3 linked regions of the Anolis sagrei genome follow. The protein of the gene in region 1 interacts with the protein of each later gene in a pairwise test. Links are inferred from orthologs where the notes say so. Each region holds a gene or a part of one and is shown on either strand. Other genes may lie near its edges. The genes, in order: CASS4, ZYX and CDC42EP2.

Evidence for each region.
Region 2: the proteins of CASS4 (region 1) and ZYX interact in binary tests that used the Homo sapiens proteins (3 or more experiments, as listed by UniProt). The link is inferred for Anolis sagrei from reciprocal best matches to the Homo sapiens genes CASS4 and ZYX.
Region 3: the proteins of CASS4 (region 1) and CDC42EP2 interact in binary tests that used the Homo sapiens proteins (3 or more experiments, as listed by UniProt). The link is inferred for Anolis sagrei from reciprocal best matches to the Homo sapiens genes CASS4 and CDC42EP2.

The regions. Positions count from the first base shown.
Region 1 is NC_090024.1:226,293,106-226,300,984, reverse strand, and holds the start of CASS4 (cas scaffolding protein family member 4), read right to left. Parts: upstream 3,100-7,879; 5' UTR 2,824-3,099; coding exon 2,761-2,823; intron 1-2,760. UniProt on the Homo sapiens protein: Docking protein that plays a role in tyrosine kinase-based signaling related to cell adhesion and cell spreading. Regulates PTK2/FAK1 activity, focal adhesion integrity, and cell spreading.
Region 2 is NC_090022.1:196,437,467-196,444,838, forward strand, and holds the start of ZYX (zyxin), read right to left. Parts: upstream 3,052-7,372; 5' UTR 2,852-3,051; intron 1-2,851. UniProt on the Homo sapiens protein: Adhesion plaque protein. Binds alpha-actinin and the CRP protein. Important for targeting TES and ENA/VASP family members to focal adhesions and for the formation of actin-rich structures.
Region 3 is NC_090032.1:10,719,523-10,727,484, reverse strand, and holds the start of CDC42EP2 (cdc42 effector protein 2), read left to right. Parts: upstream 1-4,920; 5' UTR 4,921-5,000; intron 5,001-7,962. UniProt on the Homo sapiens protein: Probably involved in the organization of the actin cytoskeleton. May act downstream of CDC42 to induce actin filament assembly leading to cell shape changes. Induces pseudopodia formation in fibroblasts in a CDC42-dependent manner.

The sequences.
Region 1 (7,879 bases):
CTTTGAGTTAATAATTGGTTCTAGTCATCAAAGATGAGACATCTGTATCTGACGATGTGGGATATGTAATCTACAGACACCTATACTATTGTAAATATTTTCAGTCATTAAGATGCCAGAAAACTCTGTTGTTTTTTGGTGCAACAGGGTTACTCCTCCAAAGATGACAGAACTATGGCGATTGAAGTTGTTCACCTTGAACAAATATTGAGTCACTGCTGAGATAGGACTGATACTCCCAGATAAATTCATTTGAAATAGCCTCCTAAACTATGTTAGTTTATTTTGACAATATTATGGCAGATTGGCACACTGATTTTAAAGGATTTCAAAGAAAAGGAAAAGAATAGCAGGTATGAGGCAACCACAGCATTAAATAGTCCTGAATGCTTGCTTATGTTAATTCCACTGAACCAAAACATAGAATCTGTACCAGTCTAATTTGAACTGAAATATGCAGGCACATCTCAGCATGTGTCTACATTGCAGAAGTATTCCAGGTGATCCCATTTAAACTGCCATAGCTCAATGTTAAGGAATCAATGGGCTATATGGGGCCAGAGGAGGGTGACTAAAATGATCAAGGGTCTGGAGAAAAAGCCCTATAAGGAGCAACTTAAAGAGCTGGGCATGTTTGGCATGAAGAAGAGAAGGCTGAGAGGAGACATGATGGCCATGTATGTGAAGGGGAGTCACAGGGAGGAGGGAGCAAGCTTGTTTTCTGCTGCCTTTGAGACTAGGATGCAGAACAATGGCTTCAAACTACAGGAAAGGAGATTCCACCTGAGCATTAGGAAAAACTTCCTGACTGTGAGTGCTGTTCAGCAGTGAAACTCTCTGCTCCAGAGTGTGGTGGAGGCTCCTTCTGTGAAGGCTTTTAAGCAGAGGCTGGATGGCCATCTGTCAGGAGTGCTTTGAATGCAATTTCCTGCTTCGTGGCAGGGGGTTGGACTGGATGGCCCATGAGGTCTCTTCCAACTCATTGTATGGTCTCATGGGAGGTCTCTATGGCTAATTAGGGACTTGAACCCTGGTCTCCAAACGCCCAAACCACACCATCCTGGCTCCCATTAACATTTTGCTCCCCCCCCCCTCGCAAAACTAGGGACAACACATGCATGTGATTGTCACAATTAGCAAGTCTTTTGCCGAGAAATAATCAGTTCCAACTTATCTATAAGACTATCAGATTAAAACTGATATGAAATGTTGTGCATGCAATATTTTTACAAGTTAATAAAACTGTGTTTTATCTCTCGCTTCCTCAACACCAAAACCCACGTTCCTTCCTTTATAGTTATCTTTTTCATAGATCGACTATAGGGCAGAAGATGACAGAAGACATGTATAATGAGATTTTTAATTTATTAATGAAAAAGCTAACTTAAAAATAGTAGTAATACCTATTTGGGGAACATTTTGCATCCCCGAAAAGTGCATCTTTACATATAGCTACTCAGAAGCAAGCACACTGCAATCAGTGAGTCTAACATCTAAGTGAGGATGTTGCTTATACTATTTCTATTATATTCTATACATTATATATTATTTCTAGAGTTGCTTATATTATTTCTATACTACTATTATCACTGTTATTGTTGTTGTTGCATGTCAAAAATAGATATGGCCATCCATCAAAACTATTATCTGGGCAGCTTTTTCTTTCAAACTAGCAAAATAAAACATTCTATTTAATTGGTTGCTGTGAGTTTTCCAGGCTGTATGGCCATGTTCTAGAAGCATTCTCTCCTGACGTTTCACCCACATGTATGGCAGGCATCCTCAGAGGTTGTGAGGTATGTTGGAAACTAGGCAAGTGGGGTTTATAGATCTGTGGAATGTCCCCGGTGGGAGAAATAACTTTTGTCTGTTTGAGGAAAGTGTGAACAGACATTGCACAGATATATATAAACTCCATTTGCCTGGTTTCCAACTGACCTCACAACCTCTGAGGATGCCTGTCATAGATGTGGGTGAAATGTCAGGAGAGAGTGCTTCTGCAACATGGCCATAAAATGTATTTTCGAAGGCTTTCAAGGCCGGAATCACTGGGTTTTTGTAGGTTCTTTCCGGGCTGTATGGCCATGTAGAGGCATTCTCTCCTGACGTTTTGCCTGTATCTATGGCAAGCATCCTCAGAGGTAGTGAGGTACCTCTGAGGATGCTTGCCATAGATGCAGGCGAAACAGCAGGAGAGAATGCCTCTAGACCATGGCCATATAGCCCGAAAAAACCCATGGCCATAAAACCTGGAAAACTCACAGTAACTCAGTGATTCTGGCAAAAGAAAAGCCTTTGACGACACATTGAACATTCTGTTGCCAATTGGCTAATTCATGGATGGGACACCACCAACAAATACTGTTGTAGGCTGTATTTCAGAAGAAGGAACTGAGTATTGTTCTCCTTAGAAAATGCTTTGAAAATTTATCAGGATGTCATATGTCAACAGACATATATATAAATACATACACACACACAGTATGCATTGAACATTTTATTGAACATTGAACAGATGTTCAATGTTGTCACATCCATGTATTAGCCAGGGCTGTCCCTGCTTAGCTTTCAAAAATCAGATGGGAGCTATTGTTTTCAGGATATCTTTAGAAAGACAACAATCCAAATGCAAAAAGCTCTCTCCTTATAAAGTTGCAGCTTGTCTATTATCAATAGCTGTACACAGTAGATAAATCTGTAAAATCAAATCTACACAAACCCTTCAATATGCAATTGCAACAAGCAAAGTTTGCTACTCACGTTCACTTTCATTTTGCCACTTTCTCTTAAAGCCTTTCCTGGTCCATTAAGGCACGCTGGCATTAAAAAGGTATCTGGCTTGCCTCCTTGAACTAAATCAGGACTAGCAACCAAACAGCAGAAATCCTCTTGTGTCAAATTGCTTGCAAAACCTCCTTCGCCTAATTCGCTGCCCAAAGACGGTGGAGTAATTTCAGAGTGAATTTGAGAGAGGAAGGAACTTCATTGCACAGTTCTTTTCTCCTGTGTTGCAATTGGCCTGGAGAGATCCCCATGCAAATGAGGTTCTGAATATTTAGCATCCCCAGGATCAAAGGGAAGATGAGGATTGGGCAGATAAAAAAGTCATTGGGGGAAAGAGAGAGATAATTCTTTAAAAACAACAATGACATATAATACAAAGAAAACCTCATAAAACAAATGTAGTGCAAAGGTTTTCTTATTCTACTATGGGATTTTAATTTTTTTCATTACTGCTTTACTCTTCAATTTGGCTCCTGATACGCTGAATTTTAATTATTCTAAAGTCTCAGCATTGTTATCATCTTGAATTTTAACTACCTGGCCTTGCTTCAGTGATTCCATCTCAAATTACCCGAAACAAAGTCTTAGGAATTATATCTTTTTAAGGGTGAGGGTGGCACAGAGGGTGGATCGGACAGAACAAAGCAGAAGAGAGCCATGAAAATGAAATACTTTCACTGGGGGCTGGCTATTCAAATTGACCATCTGGTCCTGGCTGCTTAATCACTTTTTAACATTCTCTGGTTTGGGTGGATCCTCCTGGGATTTGTTTACGCATTGCTTTTCTCTTTTGTCTCCAACCCCTCTCCCCTTCCTCCACCACCTTTGTGTAAAATAGACCTTACTCTTATTACACTATGAAACACGATTTTTGTCCCTGGGTTATAAATGTCATTTTCTGATTGGTTCTATCATAAAAACATGGAAAAGGTTTATTAAACTGTAAAGTATTTGTTTTTGCGGGACAGCCTGCAGCACATTTTGCTATAGTTTTTCAATGAACATCTCATCGAGTCTCTACCAATTCAACATAGTTTGGGCAGCCATAAAAATGAAGATTCTGGAATATAACAACTATTTTCAAAATAAGTACTGCACAATTAAATGGGAAATAATACATTCAAACCAGGAACAGATTTTTCCCCCAAATTTTGTTACATAGTGTTAGGTATTGAGAGAGGTTTGAATGTATGAATGGGTCTCAGACACATTCATCTTAAGTGGGTCTTTATTTAAAGAAAAGACAGTTACCAATGTACAAAATGAGATACAAGAGCAAACTTGGGGTCCTTCCACACAGCCCTATATCCAATAATAACAAGGCAGAAAATCATACAATATATGCTTTGAACTGGGTTATCTGAGTCCACACTGCCATATATTCCAGTTCAAAGCAGATAATGTGGGATTTTCTGCCTCGATATTCTGGGATATAGGGCTGTGTAGAAGGGCCCTTTGAGAAACTCCAGGGTTTGCACCATAAAAAAAATATCTAGAGAAAAGCTCCTCCCTGGAAAGGCATAGAATTAATACAGAGGAAGGAGAATAGAATAGAATATGCTGGAAGAGAGAGTGAACTGCTGGCTGGCTGTTGGGTTTGCAAAAAACAAGCATTGCTTTTGCCAAAAAAGATTTTTTTTTAAAAAAAAGGAGCTGAATAAACAGAAAAAAATGTTGAGATCTGGGCAAGTCCGTAGCCAAGGGGGCGGTTTACAGGTTCAAAACAACCCCTGAAAATTTTTAGGGGAGGGAGTGGGGACAGCTACCATGTTTACTCCTGAATTTGAACCGGTTAACCAAATCCCCATGCCAAGTATATGAGAAGCAAAAATTAGAGTCTTCCAGAACTACAAGCATTATCTCAATTTTTGATTATTCACACTTTCATTGCATACCTTTTTACCTATTTACATTGCAATAGCAGCAATAGCTGACATAGTGGAAGCAACAAAATTGGTTTACCCACAACTGGCAGGCAAAGCCTAAGGCAGGGAGCGATTTGATCTGGATTGCGGGTGAAAACTGTGGAAATGGAGGTGTCTCCCACTAGTTCATCTAATCCAGGGTTTCCAACCTTTTTTTGACGAGGGACCACTTTAAGCAGGGACCACTTGACCGGGGACCAATTTGACCATGGACCACTTGAACAGGGACCACTTTGACCAGGAACTACTTGGACAGGGACCATTTGAACAGGGACTATTTGAACAGGGACCACTTTGACTAGGGACCACTTGAACACGGACCATTTGAACAGGGACCACTTTGACTAGGGACCACTTGAACAGGGACCATTTGAACAGGGACCACTTTGACCATGGACCACTCTCCAACATTAGTACCAAAAGAGGTGAGGCTGGTCATCTCTGAGGAAAGGAGCAGAAATAAAATAAAATAAAATAAAATAAATAGCAGGAAGGAGGTTCACAGACCGGATTTTTGTTCACACGGCCCACTGCTGGGCTGTGGCCCACAAGATTAGAACCACTGATCTAATCCAAGCCGTGCCAAAGAAACAATGGAACAGGAGCAAAGAGAAGAACCCATGCCATTTGACTTTATATGAACAAGACTGTTCCTGATGACAAAGTCAAAGTTCAGTTAGTGCAAAATCCAGAGATTCCATTGCCAGGATATGTATTTCCTGTGGATAAGAAGAGGCACTTAAGATTTCAACTCAAATAGTTCCGCAGATTTCTCTGGTTAGCCTAGTCATTTCATGTACAAGGTGCTCTCTGTAAGCTCTGTGTGGTGTTTGGAGGAGAAGTTGGGGTAAAGGTGTTCATCAGTAGCTTGTTGCATTGGTTGCTAAACCATTTGTGTGATGGGAAATTGCAATAGAAGTTTTCAATGGACACCAACAAACAAAGTGCCATCAGAACAACTTGTGCTTGGCTGAAAACTTCTTGCTAATTCACAGTGGAAAATGTTTGGATAAGAAAGGAAATAAGAAGAAAGCAGAAGAAAACAAAGCAACTTCTGCCAATTGTGGAAACTATTGTCCTTTGTGGTCAACAAGAACCAACTTAAAGAGGGAGCAATGATTCAGGACCAATTACCGGTGAAGAACCTTTGCACAATGAGGATCATTTCAGGGCCTTGCTGAGATCTCATGCCAGATCAGGAGACACTGGCCTGAAATGTCATCTCAGGAGAAAAAGTTTCAACCCCTTCCGAAATTTTTTTTTCTGGCTACGGGTCTGGATCTGGACATAGATCAAGGGTTAGGTCGAGATTTAAATATATTTCTCAGTCACATTTGGAATCATGTTTGTATCCTAATAACAAGCCTGCAAAAGAGGTTATCACTGGAAGAAAGGAACTCACCCAAAGTCACCTGGAGAGTATCATGGCTTAGTGCAGAACTCTGGATGTTTTCTTACTCCATCTCCCAAAATCCCCAATCCAAATCCCTACAACAGCCTGGAAATTCTAGAAAGTGTAATCCAATAAAGTAACCTAAGCTGTGGTTAACAATGGAGTGCCTGAATATGGGATTTCTGTATTTAAGATGAAAACAATGCACTGGCTGCACAAGGCTACTGGAGGAAGAGAATAAATTATGCTGTCAATTTGTTTTGCTACTTTTATACTTAATACTATCTCACCAAGTCAATCGAATTTACTTCCAGATATATGTGCGACATCTGCCATCACTTTAACCAGCTCAAAATACACATTTGTATAAAACACAAGAAGCACAACAATATATTATTTTGGCATTAATTTCATTAATATACTGTGGCATTAGGAACCAACATGATGAAGTGGTTTGAGTATTGGACTTTGAGAGACCAGGTTTTGTATTCCTATTCAGCCATGGAAATCTATGGGATCACCTTGAGCAAGTCGCACTCTCTCAGTCTCAGAATAAAGCAATAACCAACCACCACTGAACAAATCGTGCCAAGAAGGCTCTACAATATGATTGCCACATTTTAGAATCAACTTGAAAACATACAAGAACAAATTAAATTTTCAGCATGAAGGCCTAACTGAACAGCAAAGAACTGTCCTTATTTAACATTTTGCCTTTCTTTACTAATCTTAAGGCACAACTGTTTCTGCAGAAGAAAGTCCAGCTGAATATAAACTACCAAGTAAAGATAGCCTAAAACAAAGAAGATCCCTTCTTGATCAGACCAAAGGTCTATCAAGTCCAGCACACTGTTCCCACTTCCCACAGAGGTCAACCAGATGCCTCTGGGAAATAAGAGAAACCAACAAGCATGATGTAAGGGAAAATACAAAAACAGACTCATGTTGACATGCAACTAGCCTTATTGTCTCTCATTCTGAGGATAATATAAAACCATGGAGCTTGTGGTTGTGAGTGGAGCACAGGTTATGGCAGGGGATTGCATTGGATATCTTCCAACTCTTTGATTCTTAGGGTCAATGTCACAGCTGTTTACTGGGAGAGAGGGAAGAGGCAGACTGCAATCTGGAGAAGTTTGCTGGAAATCCAGGAATCTCACCTCATGTGTCTTTCCCCAGCTACAAAACAGCAGGTTTGACAGGAATTGTGTGTTGTGTTGTATTATATGTACTGTATCTCTCCTTTCTCCCAATATGAGACCTATAGTACTCTACAATATAAGTTGAAACTAAATATCTAAAACTATATACATGCAGCACTAAGAGTTAAAAAGCTTTAACTAATCCAATCCAAACATTGCATTCACATTAAAAGTAAATTAACACATGACCTTCCATTCCTCCCCATAGTCAGTAAACAGTCATGGCAGTGGTCCTGGGCCTTGAAAGCTGTGGGTGTGTTTGGAGATTGCACAAGGAGGTAGTGAACATCCCATTCCATGGTGTCCAAATGTGATGCACCAACATGTCACCAATAGGATTCCAGACTTTGTCTAAACTACAGTTATAGCAATTTGATGATGTTTTAAAAGTACGTGTTCGGCTCTGTGGGATTTGTAGTTTGGCAAGGAGATACTAAGAATTACCAGGGAGCTCTAGTGCAGAGGTGGATGTGTATAGATATTGTTGAGCTGTAACTCTCAGCAGCTCCAGGCAGCACTAGCAATGGTGAGGGATGTTAAGAGTGATAGTTAAGGAACACCTGGAAGGCTGAATT
Region 2 (7,372 bases), on another chromosome or scaffold:
CCAAGAAAACACAATGATCAATTTACCATAGGGTCACCATAAGACAAAAATGGTCTGAAGGCACACAAAGCACTTCATGTCCTACTTCTGAAGTTTTGTAGAAATGCCTGGCCAACATCTAATTCATGAAGTAAACTTTGAGTGGATCCCTTGAGGGGACATCTGGTGTTGCAATAACACTATGTAACACAATTTTTGTTCCAGAGTTATAAATGTTATTTCCTAATTCGTTCTATCATAAAAACATGAGAAAAGTTTATTAGCTTCAAAAACTTTGTTTTGGTGAGACATCCTGCTGCAGCACATTTTATGATAGTTTTTCAATGAATATCTCATCGAGTCTCAACCAATTCAACATAGTTTCTGGCAGCCACAAAAACAAAGTTTCTGGAGTAGAACAACTATGGGCCCTTCAACACAGCCCTATATCCCAGAATATCAAGGCAGAAAATCCCACAATATCTGCTTTGAACTGGGTTATCTAAGTCCACACTCAGATAATGTGGGATTTTCTGCCTTGATATTCTGGGAAATAGGGCTGTGTGGAAGGGCCCTACTTTCAAAGTACATCAGACACAATAAAACAAAAAAATAACACTTTCAACCTGGGAACATAATGTTTTTCAGATTTTGTTACATAGTATAATCTGGTGGGATGCTCTGTTGGCCAAGTCAGAAAAGAAAGAAAAAAGTACCTTGGCAAAGATATACCTGCAGAGAAGAGAAGTGAAAGGAAGGCCTACAGTCACAAGCCCTTCACACCCACAGGCCTTAAATCAAGAAAGTAAAAGGAAGAAGTAAGCGCACTCTCCAGGAGGAAGGCCACCCGCAGGAATGGGGGGGGGGGGAGTCCTTCTCCTTACCCAAGTCTATCTATACATCTGGAAAAATGGCTCAGGAGAGGGCCTCAGAGAGAGAGAGAAGGAGATACCTGCCTGTTACACACCACTGTATAAAATCCACATTGAATGGAATTATATGGCAATGTGGATTCAGATAAACCAATTCAAAGCAGATATTGTCAATTATCTGCCTTGATATCCTGGGTTACACGGCTGTGTGGAAGGGCCCTTTGAGTTAAAAGCTTGCAACAGTCCCCGCCTCTCAACTTTCACCAGCTGCCAAGCTTTTACAAGAGAAAGGAGGAGACTTGAGGTTGGAGGTATTTCCCTTGAGGAGGAGGAGGGGAGGATATGTCTGGCAAGGAAGAAACAGGCATCCTGAGGCCCCTTCCACACAGCTGAATAAAATCCCACATTATCTTCTTTGAACTGGAATATATGGCAGCGTGAACTCAGAGCCCTTCCACACAGCCATATAATCCAGAATATCAAGACAGAATAACCCACAATATATGCTTTGAACTGGGTTATTAGAGTCCACATTGTCATATATTCCAGTTCAAAGCAAATAACATTGGATTTTATTCAACTGTGTGGTGCTTTAGGGCCCTTCCAGAGAGGCCCTATATCCCAGGATCTGATCCCAGTTTTTCTCTTTATCCCAGATTATCTGGCAGTGCACACTCATATAATGCAGTCTAATGCAGAAAACCTGCGATCAGATCCTGGGATGTAGGGCTTGCCTGGAAGTGCCCTTGGATAACTTAGAGCCCTTCCACACAGCCATATAACCCAGAATATCAAGGCAGAAAATCCAACAATATCTGCTTTGAACAGGGTTATCTAAGGCCCCATCCACACAGCTGAATAAGATTCCACATTATTTGCTTTGAACTGGGATATGTGGCAGTGTGGACTCAGATAACTCAAGTACAAAGGAGATATTGTGTGTTTTTCTGCCTTGATACAGCTGTGTGGAAGAGCCCTTAGTCCAGTGGTTCTCAACCTGTGGGTCCCCAGATGTTTTGGCCTTCAACTCCCAGAAATCCTAACAGGTGGTAAACTGGCTGGGATTTCTGGGAGTTGTACGCCAAAACACCTGGGGACCCACAGGTTGAGAAACACTGCCTTAGTCCATACTGTCATATATCCCAGTCCAAAGCAGGTAATGTGGGATTTTATTCAGCTGTGTAAAAGGAGTCCCAGTTCAGAGTGGATATTGTGGGATTTTCTGCCTTGATATTCTGGGCTATAGGGCTGCCTGGGAGGGCCCTTCCACACAGACCTATATCCCAGAATATCAAGGCAGAAAATACCTTTTTTTCTAAATGTGGACTCAGATAACCCAGTTCAAAGCAGATATTGTAGTATTTTCTGCCTTGATATTCTGGGTTATAGGGCTGCCTGGGAGGGCCCTTCTACACAGCCCTATATCCCAGAATATCAAGGCAGAAAATCCCTTTTTTCCAAATGTGGACTCAGATAACCCAGTTCAAAGTGATATTGTGGGATTTTCTGCCTTGATATTCTAGGTTATAGGGTTGCCTGGGAGGGCCCTTCCACACAGCCCTATATCCCAGAATATCAAGGCAGGAAACCCCACATTGTCTGGGTGTGGACTCAGATAACTCAGCTCAAAGCAGATATTGTGGTATTTTCTGCCTTGATATTCTGGGTTATAGGGCTGTGTGTAAGGGTCCTGAAACTCAGGCTGTCCAGCTGCTTGGGCCTCCAACTCCCAGAATGCCTGACCATTCAACAAGCCGGCGAGGGCTTCTGGGAGTTGGAGGCGCACAGCTGGAGTTTGGAGAGTGCCTGGTGTGGCGCGTGCATGGAGTAGCCTCGCTTAAGCCCTTCCTCTCAGCACGAAAGCGCGCTCAAGGAAGAAGACTTTGGAGGAAAAGGCGCCTTCGGAGGGACGGGACAGAGGAAGAGGAGAACAGCCCGGCCCCCTCGCCTTTTCAGCCCCGGAACCCCCGAAGTATGAGGCGAAGCGCAGCCTGGCTTACCTTGAAGACGGTGGTCCCAAGAGGAGGGCTTTGCGCGCGCCTGTGCGCCTGAGGAGGAGAGAGAGTGCTTGGAAGGGTCTCGCGGCCAGGCAGTGCCAGCCCTCACACTCCGGCGCGCGACTTTCCCAAGCGCTGCCCGGCGGCGGGGCTGAGAGGAAGTTCGGGAAGGGGCGGCCCTCAGGAGGAGGAGGAGGAGGAGGGAAAAGGAGGAGGAGGAGGGTCCCCAGAACTCCTCACTTTCTCCCTCGCTCGGCGGAGGGGAGCCTCGCCCGGCCCCAGCCGCGCTTTGACCATAAAAGGAGAGAGGCCGCGCCGACCCAACAGCTGAGCTCACTCCTCCGGGAATGTGGCAAACCGGGGAGGCAGAGGTTGCGAAAAAAGGAGGGAAGGCAAGAAAGAAGAGGAGGAGAAGGAGGAGGAAGAAGAGGAGAAGGAAGAGGGGGGGGGGAGACAGCTTCCTCTTTGCCTCCTCCTCAAAAAAGGGGTGTCTCTTCTCATACACACACACACAGACACCCCCCTTCCTTTCCTTGAAGGCCACCCTTGGGATTTTGTAGTGTTACTTATTAGATCCTCACTATTTCTGAACTATTTCTGCAACAGCAGACTGGTTCAAGATTGGGAAAGGCGTACGGCGGGGTTGTATACTCTCACTCAACCTATTCAACTTGTATGCAGAACACATCATGTGTGTTCTGCATACAAGTTGAATAGGCTGGGGTAAAAAATGCTGGAAGAAACATTAACAATCTTAAATATGCAGATGATACCACTTTGATGGCCGAAAGCCTTCTCACCAAGGTGAAAGTGCAAAAGCTGGGTTGCAGTTAAACATTTAAAAAACTATGATTATGTCAGCAAGACTGATTGATAACTGGCAAATAGAGGGAGAAAACGTGGAGGCAGTGACAGACTTTGTATTTCTAGGAGCAAAGATTACTGCAGATGCAGACTGCAGCCAGGAAATCAGGAAGCACTTACTTCTTGGGAGGAGAGCAATGTCCAATCTCGATGAAACAGTCAAGAGTAGAGACATCACACTGGCAACAAAGATCCGCATATTTAAAGCAATGGTATTCCCCTTGGTCACCTACGGATGTGAGAGCTGGACCATAGGGAAGGCTGAGCGAAGGAAGATAGACGCTTTTGAACTGTGGTGTTGGAGGAAAGTGCTGAGAGTGCCTTGGACCGCGAGAAGATCCAACCAGTCTATACTTCATGAAATAAAGCCCGACTGCTCATTAGGGGGAAGGATAGTAGAGACAAAGATGAAATACTTTGGCCACATCATGAGAAGACAGGAAAGCAGAGAGAAGACAATGATGCTGGGGAAAATGGAAGGAAAAAGGAAGAGGGGCTGCCAAGGGCAAGATTGATGGATGACATCCTTGAAGTGACTGGCTTGATCTTGAAGGAGTTGGAGGTGGTGACAGCCGACAGGGAGCTCTGGCGTGGGCTGGTCCATGAGGTCACAAAGGGTCGGAAGCAACTGAATGAATGAACAGCAACATTTCTGAACCACTCTTGACAACTACACAGCCATATAATGTTGATTGTTTTTAATGGCACTTTTATTAATGCCTAACATCGAATTGTGCCAACCTGTAACCTGCCTTGAGTTGCCATATGGCTGAGAAAGGCGGTCTATAAATATCGTAAATAAATAAATATAACCCAGGGCCCTTCCACACAGCCCTGAATCCCAGAATATCAAGGCAGAAAATCCCACATTATCTGGACTCACAACCTAGTTCAAAGTAGATATTGTGGGACTTCCTGCCTTGATATTCTGGGATATAGGGCTGTGTGGAAGAACCCTCAGAATGGGTTTTATCTCCTGGAGTATGGACTGGGAGCAGCCACCTAAAAGGTCCTCTTCCTTATTCCCACCACATGCACTTGAACGGGTGGTGGGACAGAGATAAGGTCCTCCCTAGTTGATTGTAGATGTCTACCAGGTTCATAGAAAGAGATACATTCCATCAGATAAGCTGGACTTTAGCCATATAGCAGTTGCTCCTGACATGAAAAAAGCCATATAGGGCTTCATAGGGCCCCTTCTACACTGCCCTATATACTAGGATATGATTATCTGGCAGTCTATACTGCCAGTTAATTTAAGATAATCAGATAATCTGGGATCAAATTCTGAAATACAGGGCAGTGTAGAAGGGGCCTAAGTCAAAACTAGCACTTTGAATTGGATCTGGAGCTGTTGCAACAGTGAGATTGGGTGCTTCCTGTAGTCAGCCCTGGTTAGCAGTCTGGCAACTACTCATTGGACCAACTGGAGTTTCTGCGCCCTTTTTGAAGGCAGTCCCACACAGAGTGCATTACAATAGTCCAACTGGGATGTAACCATGGCATGCACCACTGAGGCCAGATCTGTCTTCTCCAGCAATGGGCACAGTTGACATAGTAATTTTAACTGAGCAAAAGCACTCCTGGTCAGGTCCTCGCCTCTCAAGCTTCCTGAGGGTGAAGTCTCGACAGGGAAGAAAGTTAAGATGTTTGAGACCAAAAGAAGTGGGAGAGCAAGCCAGTTAACAATTCTTCCCTTAATCCCCCTCCCCAAATCCCTCACCACCCATCTTGGCTTTTAAAATCTCTCTGTGCCCCCCTACACACACACACACACACACATGACCTCCTTCTCCCCCTCAGCCCAAGACCCTGCAGTTTAGAGTTTTCATCATACTTCTGCTGATCCCCTCTCCTTCTCCCTTCCCCCACAAACCACCTTCATGGAAAAAAGGAAACCTTGCATTGGTTTGCTGCATTCCTCAGGACCCTCCAGGGCCCCCTTTCCCTCCCCCTCCGAGTGATTTCATTTCCTTTGGAGCCCCAGTTCAGCCAAGGGGCCGCGCAGGATGAGTCAGGGTCGGCCTCAACCTCTCCTCCACCCACCACCCCCACTCCTTGCCTGCCTGCCTGCCTCAACCAGCGGGGAGATTATCTGACTCAGAATTTCCTGTCGAAACTTTGAGAGGAATGGCTTTTTTCTCTCTTTTCCACAGACAAAACCACCACACTCAGCATGACCCCAAATAGGCTTGTTTTCTCTGTTAGCTTGGCAAACTCAAGCAACAATGGAATGGGAATGGCACCATTCACGAGATTGGGGGTGCGGGTGTGAAAGAAAAGAAAATTCAGTTGCTTGCAGTGTTCCTATAGCAAGGAAACTTTCACATTCTTGATCTCTTATTTTATGTACAGGTCACAGCTCTTCCCCTTTCCACAAAAAACTTCATGGAGAAATAATCATTTGATCCCAATCGATCCATAGGTCTGCTTGTTCCTGACTTGGTTGCTTTTGCAATATTTGAGCTAGTAGAAAAGATAAGCAGGACATTCCACTATGTACATTGTGGACAATCTAGATTGGTGAAGCAGTTGCTAAAATGCCTATTCATGTCTGTGCCAGGAAGTGAGGAGGAAATGACAACACAACCAGAAAACACAAATATGGAAACATTGGCGTGTTTTCCATTCCCCCAGTTATGGACTGAGAAAGTAACGATGCCTGATCCACCCCACAACATGTGAAGACACACAACTAACTCATGACAGGGATATTCCCACATCAGCACGTCACTGCCACACATGCAAGATATACAATGATGTTGCGCATAGCGTGTTTCACTCAGGTCTAATGCAGAAGACATAATAACATTGTACCCAGGCAAGAGGAAAAAGAACAGAAAAAATTTACTCTTATCAGCAGAGTTAAAAGATAAACTTGCAGTGTTGCAAACAAAAACAAACAGTGCAACAAACTTACATAGTCCTTGTAAGAAATATGGAACAAGGCGGGGCTCAAACCATTTAGGGCTTTATAGGTCATAACCTGCACCTTGAATTTGGCTTGGCAACTTATCGGCAGCCAATGAAGTTGTTTTAAAAGGGGTGTTGTATGCTCCCTACAGTTTGCTCCAGTAAGGAGCCTGGCTGCCGCCCGTCGTACCAATTGGAGCTTCCAGGCCATCTTCAAGGGCAGCCCCATGTAGAGCACATTGCAATAGTCCAATCTGGATGTAACCAAGGTGTGGACCACCCTGGCCAAGTCAGACTTCACGAGGTATGGTTGCAGCTGGCGCACAAGTTTGAGTTGTCCAAAGGCCCTCCCGGCCACCACAGACACCTGAGCATCAAGTGACAGCATTGAGTCCAGGAGGACCCCCAAGCTATGGACCTGCGCCTTCAGGGGGAGTGTAACCCCGTCGAGCACAGGTTGCCACCCAATACCCCGGTCGGCCCCACGACTGACCAGGAGGACCTCTGTCTTGTCTGGATTAAGCTTCAACCTGTTAGCCCTCATCCAGTCCATCACAGCAGTCAGACACTGGTTCAGGGTCTGGGAGGCTTCCTTGGAGTTTGGTGGAAATGAGTAGTAGAGTTGGGTGTCATCTGCGTACAGATAGTACCCAACTCCAAAACTCCAGATGACCTCACCCAGTGGTTTCATGTAGATATTAAAAAGCATGGGGGATAGAATGGAACCTTACAGGACCGCACGGGTCA
Region 3 (7,962 bases), on another chromosome or scaffold:
CTTTTTGCTTCCTTCCTTCCTTTCTTCTTTTTCCTTCCTCTTCCCTCCCCCCTCCTTCCTTTCTTTTCCCTTCCTTCTTCCTTTCCTTACTTTTGCTGAGAAGGAAATAAATAGAGAAGGAGGGAGAGAACGGAAAAAAGGAGGGGAAAGAAAGAAGGAAAGAAAAAAGAGGAGAGAAGGAGGGAGAGAAAGAAGGAGGGAAGGAAAGAAGGAAGCAAAGAAAGAAGGGTAGAGAAGGAAGGAAGGACAGGAAGAGGGAGAGAAGAAAGAGAGGAGGGAAGGAGAAAAGGTAGGAAAGAAAGGTAGAGAAGGGAGAGAAGAGAAAGGAGGGAAGGAGAGAAGAAAGGAAAGAAAGAAGGATAGAGAAGAAGTAGAGAGGGAGGGAGAGAAAGAAGGAGGGAAGGGGAGAAGGAAGGAAAGAAGCATAGAGAAGGAAGTAAGTAGAGAAGGAAGGAGAGAAAGAAGGAAGGAAAGAAAGAAGGATAGAGAAGGAAGTAGAGAAGGAGGGAGAGAAAGAGGGAAAGAAGGAGGGAAGGAAAGGTAGAGAAGGAAGGAAGGAGAGAAGGAAATAAAAAAGTGAAAGAGGGAAGGAAGGAGAGAAGGAATGAAAGAAAGAGGGAAGGAAGGAAGGAAAGAGACAAGGAAGGATGGAACCAAAGAGCAAAGGAAGCAAGAAAAGAAACAGGTAGAGAAGGAAGAAAGAAGAAGGGAAAGAAAAAGGGAAGGAAGGAAAGAGGGAGGGAAGGAAGGAAGGAAGAAGAGAAAGAAAGAAGGAGAGAAAGAATGAGGGCAGGTTGGCCACAGCAAAGCGTGGTGGGTACAGCTAGTCTATATAAATAAAAACGTAATGTTTGTTGTAGTTCACCTGTATCCAGAGAGCACTGTGGACTCAAACAATGATGGATCTGGACCAAACCTGGCACAGATACTCACTATGCCCAAATGTGAACACTAGTGGAGTTTGGGGAAAATAGAGTCTTGACATTTGGGAGTTGTAGTTGCTGGGATTTATAGTTCACCTACAATCACAGAGCATTCTGAACCCCACCAACGATAGAATTGGGCCAAACCTCCCACACAGGGCCCCCATGTGGGCCACAGCAACGCATGGCAGGGGACAGCTAGTAAATAAATAATAATAATTTCCTCAACAGAAAACACTTTTTGCCCCAAGCATTTTGGATCAGAGACAGGCCACCTTCACTGGGTTGTTGTAGGTTTTTTCGGGCTATATGGCCATGGTCTAGAGGCATTCTCTCCTGACGTTTTGCCTGCATCGATGTCAAGCATCCTCAGAGGTAGTGAGATCTGTTGAAACTAGGACAAAGGGTTTATATATCTGTAGAATGACCAGGGTGGGACAAAGAACTCTTGTCTGCTGGAGCTAGGCGTGAATGTTTCAACTGACCACCTTTTTTGTTTCTCCAGGCAAATGTCTTGTCCTTGCTTTCTCCTCCTTCGCCCTTCCCTAGACAAAGATCTTTGCTTTCCAAACCCCCTCTTTGCTTCTCAAAACAGATCCCATAGATAAAACCTGACCGAAGCCTCCAAAGAAACCCTCTGGGGTTTTCTTTTTCTTCAACCGGAGTGCCTGGCGGATGATGTCGCTCTTCCCCTAAATCAGAGGAATTCCACCTTGACACATTATTAAAATTATAGGCTTGGCTGGCTGTGCTGTCAGAGGAAAATGCAGGCCAAATATGGATTTTGATTTCCTCTCCGCTTGGATCAACACAAAGGAAAGCAGGGAAAGAGGTGGGTTACATCAGATGGGCTTGCATCAGAACGAAAACATGGCTCTTAATCATGGAATCCTAGAGCTGGAAAGAAAAACCCAAAGGCCATCCAGGGCAACCCCTTTCCGTCTTTGGAATATTAGCTATCCCTCCCAATACATACATATATACACACACACATATGAATATAAATAAATAAAAATGTAATGTTCGTTTGTGGGATTAACAGAACTCAAAAACCACTAGACGAATTGACATCAAATTTGGACACAAGATACCTAACAACCCAATTTATGTCCTTCACTAAAAAAAAAAATTGATTTTGTCATTTGGGAGTTGTAGTTGCTGGGATTTATAGTTCACCTACAATCAAAGAGCATTCTGAACCCCACCAACGATGGAATTGAACCAAACTTGGCACACGGTTCTCCCATGACCAACAGAAAATACTGCAAGGGTTTGGTGCACAATGTCCTTTGGTTTTGGAGTTGTAGTTCACCTACATCCAGCGATCACTGTGGACTCAAACAATGATGGATCTGGACCAAACTACATGAATACTCAATATGCCCAAATGTAGACACTGGTGGAGTTTGGGGAAAATAGACCTTGACATTTGGGAGTTGTAATTGCTGGGATTTATAGTTCACTTTCTGAACTATCACAGAGCTTTCTGAACCCCACCAACGATGGAATTGGGCCAAACCTCCCACACAGAACCCCCATGTGGGCCACAGCAACGCGTGGCAGGGGACGGCTAGTCTATATAAATAAAAATGTAATGTTCGTTTGTGGGATTAACATAACTCAGAAACCACTGGTCGAATGGACACAAAATTTTGACACAATACACATAACAGTCCAACGAGTGTCCACCACCCCCAAAAACACCCTCCCCCAGTGGAACAGACTTTAAAACCCAAAAAATACACCATATATACATATATACATACATTCATATACATATGCACATACACAGAGGCAGCCCTAGGTAATTTTCAACGGTAAGCAAACAGTATTTTGGCGCCCCCCCCCCCCCCCCCCAACCAATCACTGATCTATATTTTCTGTTCGTCGTAGGAGTTCTCTGTGCCATATTTGGTTCAATTCCATCACTGGTGGAGTTCAGAATGCTCTTTGATTGTAGGTGAACTATACATCCCAGTAACTACAACTCGCATATGTCAAGGTCTATTTTCCCCCAAGAGTGCCTCAAGAGCGCCCCTGGGCAACATCAACTATACTGCGAGTGCTTACTTTGCGTAATGGGTGAGCTGCCCCTGCACATACACACATTCATACACATGTATATATATGCACAAGCACACACAAATATACATATGTACACACACATACATATACATGCACACACACATAGATACATATACACAGGCACACACATATATACACAAATAAACACATGCACACATACATATACACATATACACATACATACATTCATACACACACATATATATATGCGCAAGCAAACACAAATATACACATACATAAATACATATACACATGCTCACATATATATGCATATACATACATGTATACATTCATACACATATATATATGCACAAGCACACACAAATATACACACATATATATACATATACACATGCTCACATATATATATATACATATACATACATGTATACATTCATACACATATATATATGCACAAGCACACACAAATATACACACACATATATACATATACACATGCTCACATATATATACATATACATAAATACATTCATACACACACGTATATATATGCACAAGCACACACAAATATACACACATACATACATATATGGTCAATAAAAGTATAATATATTAAATATAAACACACAATATATATATATAGTAATGAATGTTTTATACATACACATTTTCACTTTTATTACGTGTATATATTAAATATAAACACTCAATATATATTATATTATTATACAGATATATAGTAACTAATGTTCTATATCATGTATAATAAATGTAAACGCATTATATATTATATTATGCAGATATATAGTAATGTTATATATCTTATAAGCATAATATAATAAATATGAATATATAATAATATGTAATATGAAAATATAATAATGAATATATAATTATATAAAATAATATATAGTAAAAATTATGCATATATAGTCAATAAAAGTATAATATATTAAATATAAAAACTCAAAATATATTATATTATATTATAATAAATCTCAAAATATATTATATTATTATACAGATATTATATTATTATACAGATATATATTATATTATTATGCATATAGTAATGTTATATATCTTATAAGCATAACATAATAAATATGAATATATAATAATATATAATATGAAAATATAATAATGAATATATAATTATATAAAATAATATATAGTAATGAATTATGCATATATAGTCAATAAAAGTATAATATATTAATATATATATAAATATGAATATATAATAATATATAATATGAAAATATAATAATGAATATAAAATAATATATAGTAACAAATTATGCATATATAGTCAATAAAAGTATAATTTATTAAATATAAAAACTCAAAATATATTATATTATATTATAATAAATCTCAAAATATATTATTATACAGATATATATTATATTATTATGCAGATATATAGTAATGTTATATATCTTATAAGCATAATATAATAAATATGAATATATAATAATATATAATAGGAAAATTAATATAATATTATATTATTATAATAATATAAAACACACAATATACATATTATATTATTATATTATTACATATTATATTATTAGAATAATATAAACACACAATATACATATTATATTATTACATATTATATTATAATAATATAAACACACAATATACATATTATATTATTATACAGATATATATAGTAATACACATTTTCACTATTATTATGTCTATAGATTATTATTATTATTATTATTGTCAATATCCTTTATGGATCCCCAAAGATGGGTCCAAAGACAAGAGGATTCAATAGGAGTGAATCAGGGAGGTCAAGCCACAAAGCCCTTCCCTATGATGAAGCAATGTTGCAACATGCAAAACAAAAGGGGCGGGGATAGAACGCTGCCTAGCCAGCCGCGGCTTGGGATTGGTCCAGGGCTGGAGTGGGCGTGGCTTGGCGGTGGGTGGCAATCCTGGGCAGGCGGAGGGCGCGCCTTTTCTCTCTTTGGCGGCCGAAGGAAGAGGAGGAGGCGACGCCCAGGCCAGATCTGGGTGAGTATTCCCCTTGGCAAGGGCGGAGGAGGCCTTCAGGAACCCCATAGGCAGGGATGCAAAGCCTTTGTGGAGCTCCATGGGCGTGGCAAGTGTCAAGGTTTGGGGGTTTCTTAGCGTTGTGAGCCTGATATCTGCCACATGGCACTCTGGACATGCTCAGAAGCCTGGTTTGATGTTTTTAGGTCACTAAATAATAACAGTCTTTGGAAAAAGCACTTTGGACATGCTCAGGAGCCTGCTTTGCTGATTTTGGGTCTCTAAATAGGTACAATGGTTGGGAAGGAACACTTTGGACATGCTCAGAAGCCTGGTTTGCTGATTTTAGGTCACTAAATAACAATAGTCTTTGGAAAAAGCACTTTGGACATGCTCAGGAGCCTGGTTTGCTGATTTTGGGTCACTAAATAGGTACAATGGTTGGGAAGGAACACTTTGGACATGCTCAGAAGCCAGGTTTGCTGATTTTTAGGTCACTAAATAACAACAGTTTGCACTTTGGACATGCTCAGAAGCTGCTTTTTGGTCACTAAATAAGTACAGTGGTTAGGAAAGAACACTTTGGACATGCTCAGAAGCCAGGTTTGCTCATTTTAGGTCACTAAATAGCAAAAATCTTTGGAAAAGGGCACTCTGGACATGCTCAGAAGCCTGGTTTGCTGATTTTACGTCACTAAATAGCAAAAGTCTTTGGAAAAGGGCACTCTGGACATGCTCAGAAGCCTGGTTTGCTGCTTTTAGGTCACTAAATAGCAACAGTCTTTGGAAAAGGGCACTTTGGACATGCTCAGGAGCCTGCTTTGCTGATTTTAGGTCACTAAATAGGTACAATGGTTGGGAAAGAGCACTTTGGACATGCTCAGAAGCCTGCTTTGCTGATTTTGGGTCATTAAATAGGTACAATGGTTGGGAAAGAACACTTTGAACATGCTCAGAAGCCAGGTTTGCTGATTTTAGGTCACTAAATAACAACAGTTGGCACTTTGGACAAGCTCAGAAGCCTGGTTTGCTGCTTTTAGGTCACTAAATAACAATAGTCTTTGGACAAAGCACTCTGGACATGCTCAGGAGCCTGCTTTGCTGATTTTGGGTCACTAAATAGGTACAATGCTTGGTAAAGAACACTTTAGATATGCTCAGAAGCCAGGTTTGCTGATTTTAGGTCACTAAATAACAACAGTTGGCAGTCTGGACATGCTCAGAAGCCTGGTTTGCTGCTTTTAGGTCACTAAATAGCAAACATATTTGGAAAAGGGCACGCTGGACATGCTCAGAACCTGGTTTGTTGCATTTTGGTCACTCAATAGCAACTGTTTTTGAAAAAGAGCACTCTGGACATGCTCAGAAGCCTGGTTTGCTGCTTTTAGGCCACTAAATAGCAAAAGTCTTTGGAAAAGAGCACTCTGGACATGCTCAGAAGCCTGGTTTGCTGCTTTTAGGCCACTAAATAGCAAAAGTCTTTGGAAAAGGGCACTCTGGACATGCTCAGAAGCCTGGTTTGCTGCTTTTAGGCCACTAAATAGCAAAAGTCTTTGGAAAAGAGCACTCTGGACATGCTCAGAAGCATGTTTGGTGATTTTAGATCACTAAATAGCAAAAATCTTTGGAAAAGGGCAGTTTGGATATGGTCAGAAGCCTGGTTTGGTGATTTTTGGTCACTAAATAGGTATAATGGGTGGGAAAGAACACTTTGGACATGCTCAGGAGCCTGCTTCCCTGCTTTTTGGTCACTAAATAGCGACAGTCTTTGGAAAAGGGCGCATTGGACATGCTCAGAAGCCTGGTTTGCTGATTTTCGGTCACTAAATAGCGACAGTCTTTGGAAAAGTCACTTTGGACATACTCAGAAGCCTGCTTTGCTGATTTTAGGTCACTATATAGTGACAGTCGTTGGAAATGGGCACTTTAGACATGCTCAGAAACCTGGTTTCCTCCTTTGGGTCACTCAATACCAACAGTCTATGGAAAGGGGCACTTTGGACATGCTCAGAATCCTGGTGTGCTGCTTTTGGGTCACTAAATAAGTATAATGGTTGGGAAATAACACTTTGGACATGCTCAGAAGCCTGCTTTGCTGATTTTTGGTCACTCAATAGCAACAGTCTTTGGAAAAGGGCACTTTGGACATGCTCAGGAGCCCGATTTGCTGATTTTAGGACACTAAATAGTGACAATTTTTGGAAAAGGGCACTTTGGACATGCTCAGAAGCCTGGTTTCCTCCTTTGGGTCACTAAATAGCAACAGTCTGTGGAAAGGGGCACTCTGGACATGCTCAGAAGCCGGGTTTGCTGCTTTTGGGTCACTAAATAAGTATAATAGTTGGGAAATAACACTTTGGACATGCTCAGAAGCCTGGTTTGCTGCTTTTTGGTCACTAAATAGCAACAGTATTTGGAAAAAGTACTTTGGACATGCTCAAAAGCCCGCTTTGCTGATTTTAGGTCATTAAATAGCTACAATGGTTGGGAAAGAACACTTTGGACATGCTCAGAAGCCTGGTTTGCTGCTTTTTGGTCACTATATAGCGACAGCTGTTGGAAATGGGCACTTTGGATATGCTCAGACGCCTACTTCGTTGCTGTTATGTCACTAAATAGGTACAATGGTTGGGAAAGAGCACTTTGCACATGCTCAGAAGCCTGGTTTGTTGAGTTAATATCGCTAAACATTTCCAGTATTGGAAAAGAGTACTTTGTTCATGCTCAGAAGTCCATTTTGCCTCTATTATATCATTAATACATGTAATGGTTGGAAAAGATACTTTGTTATATGCTCAGAAGACACTTTTATATTGCTAAATAGTTACAAAGGTTGGAAAATTACGTTTTGTATATGTTCAGGAGCTGTTCAGTAGTGGAATATAATAATAATAAGTCCGGCAGAGTCTCCTTCCCTGGAGGTTTTGAAGCAGAGGCTGGATGGCCATCTGCCAGGAGGGCTTTAATTGTGTCTTCTTGCCTG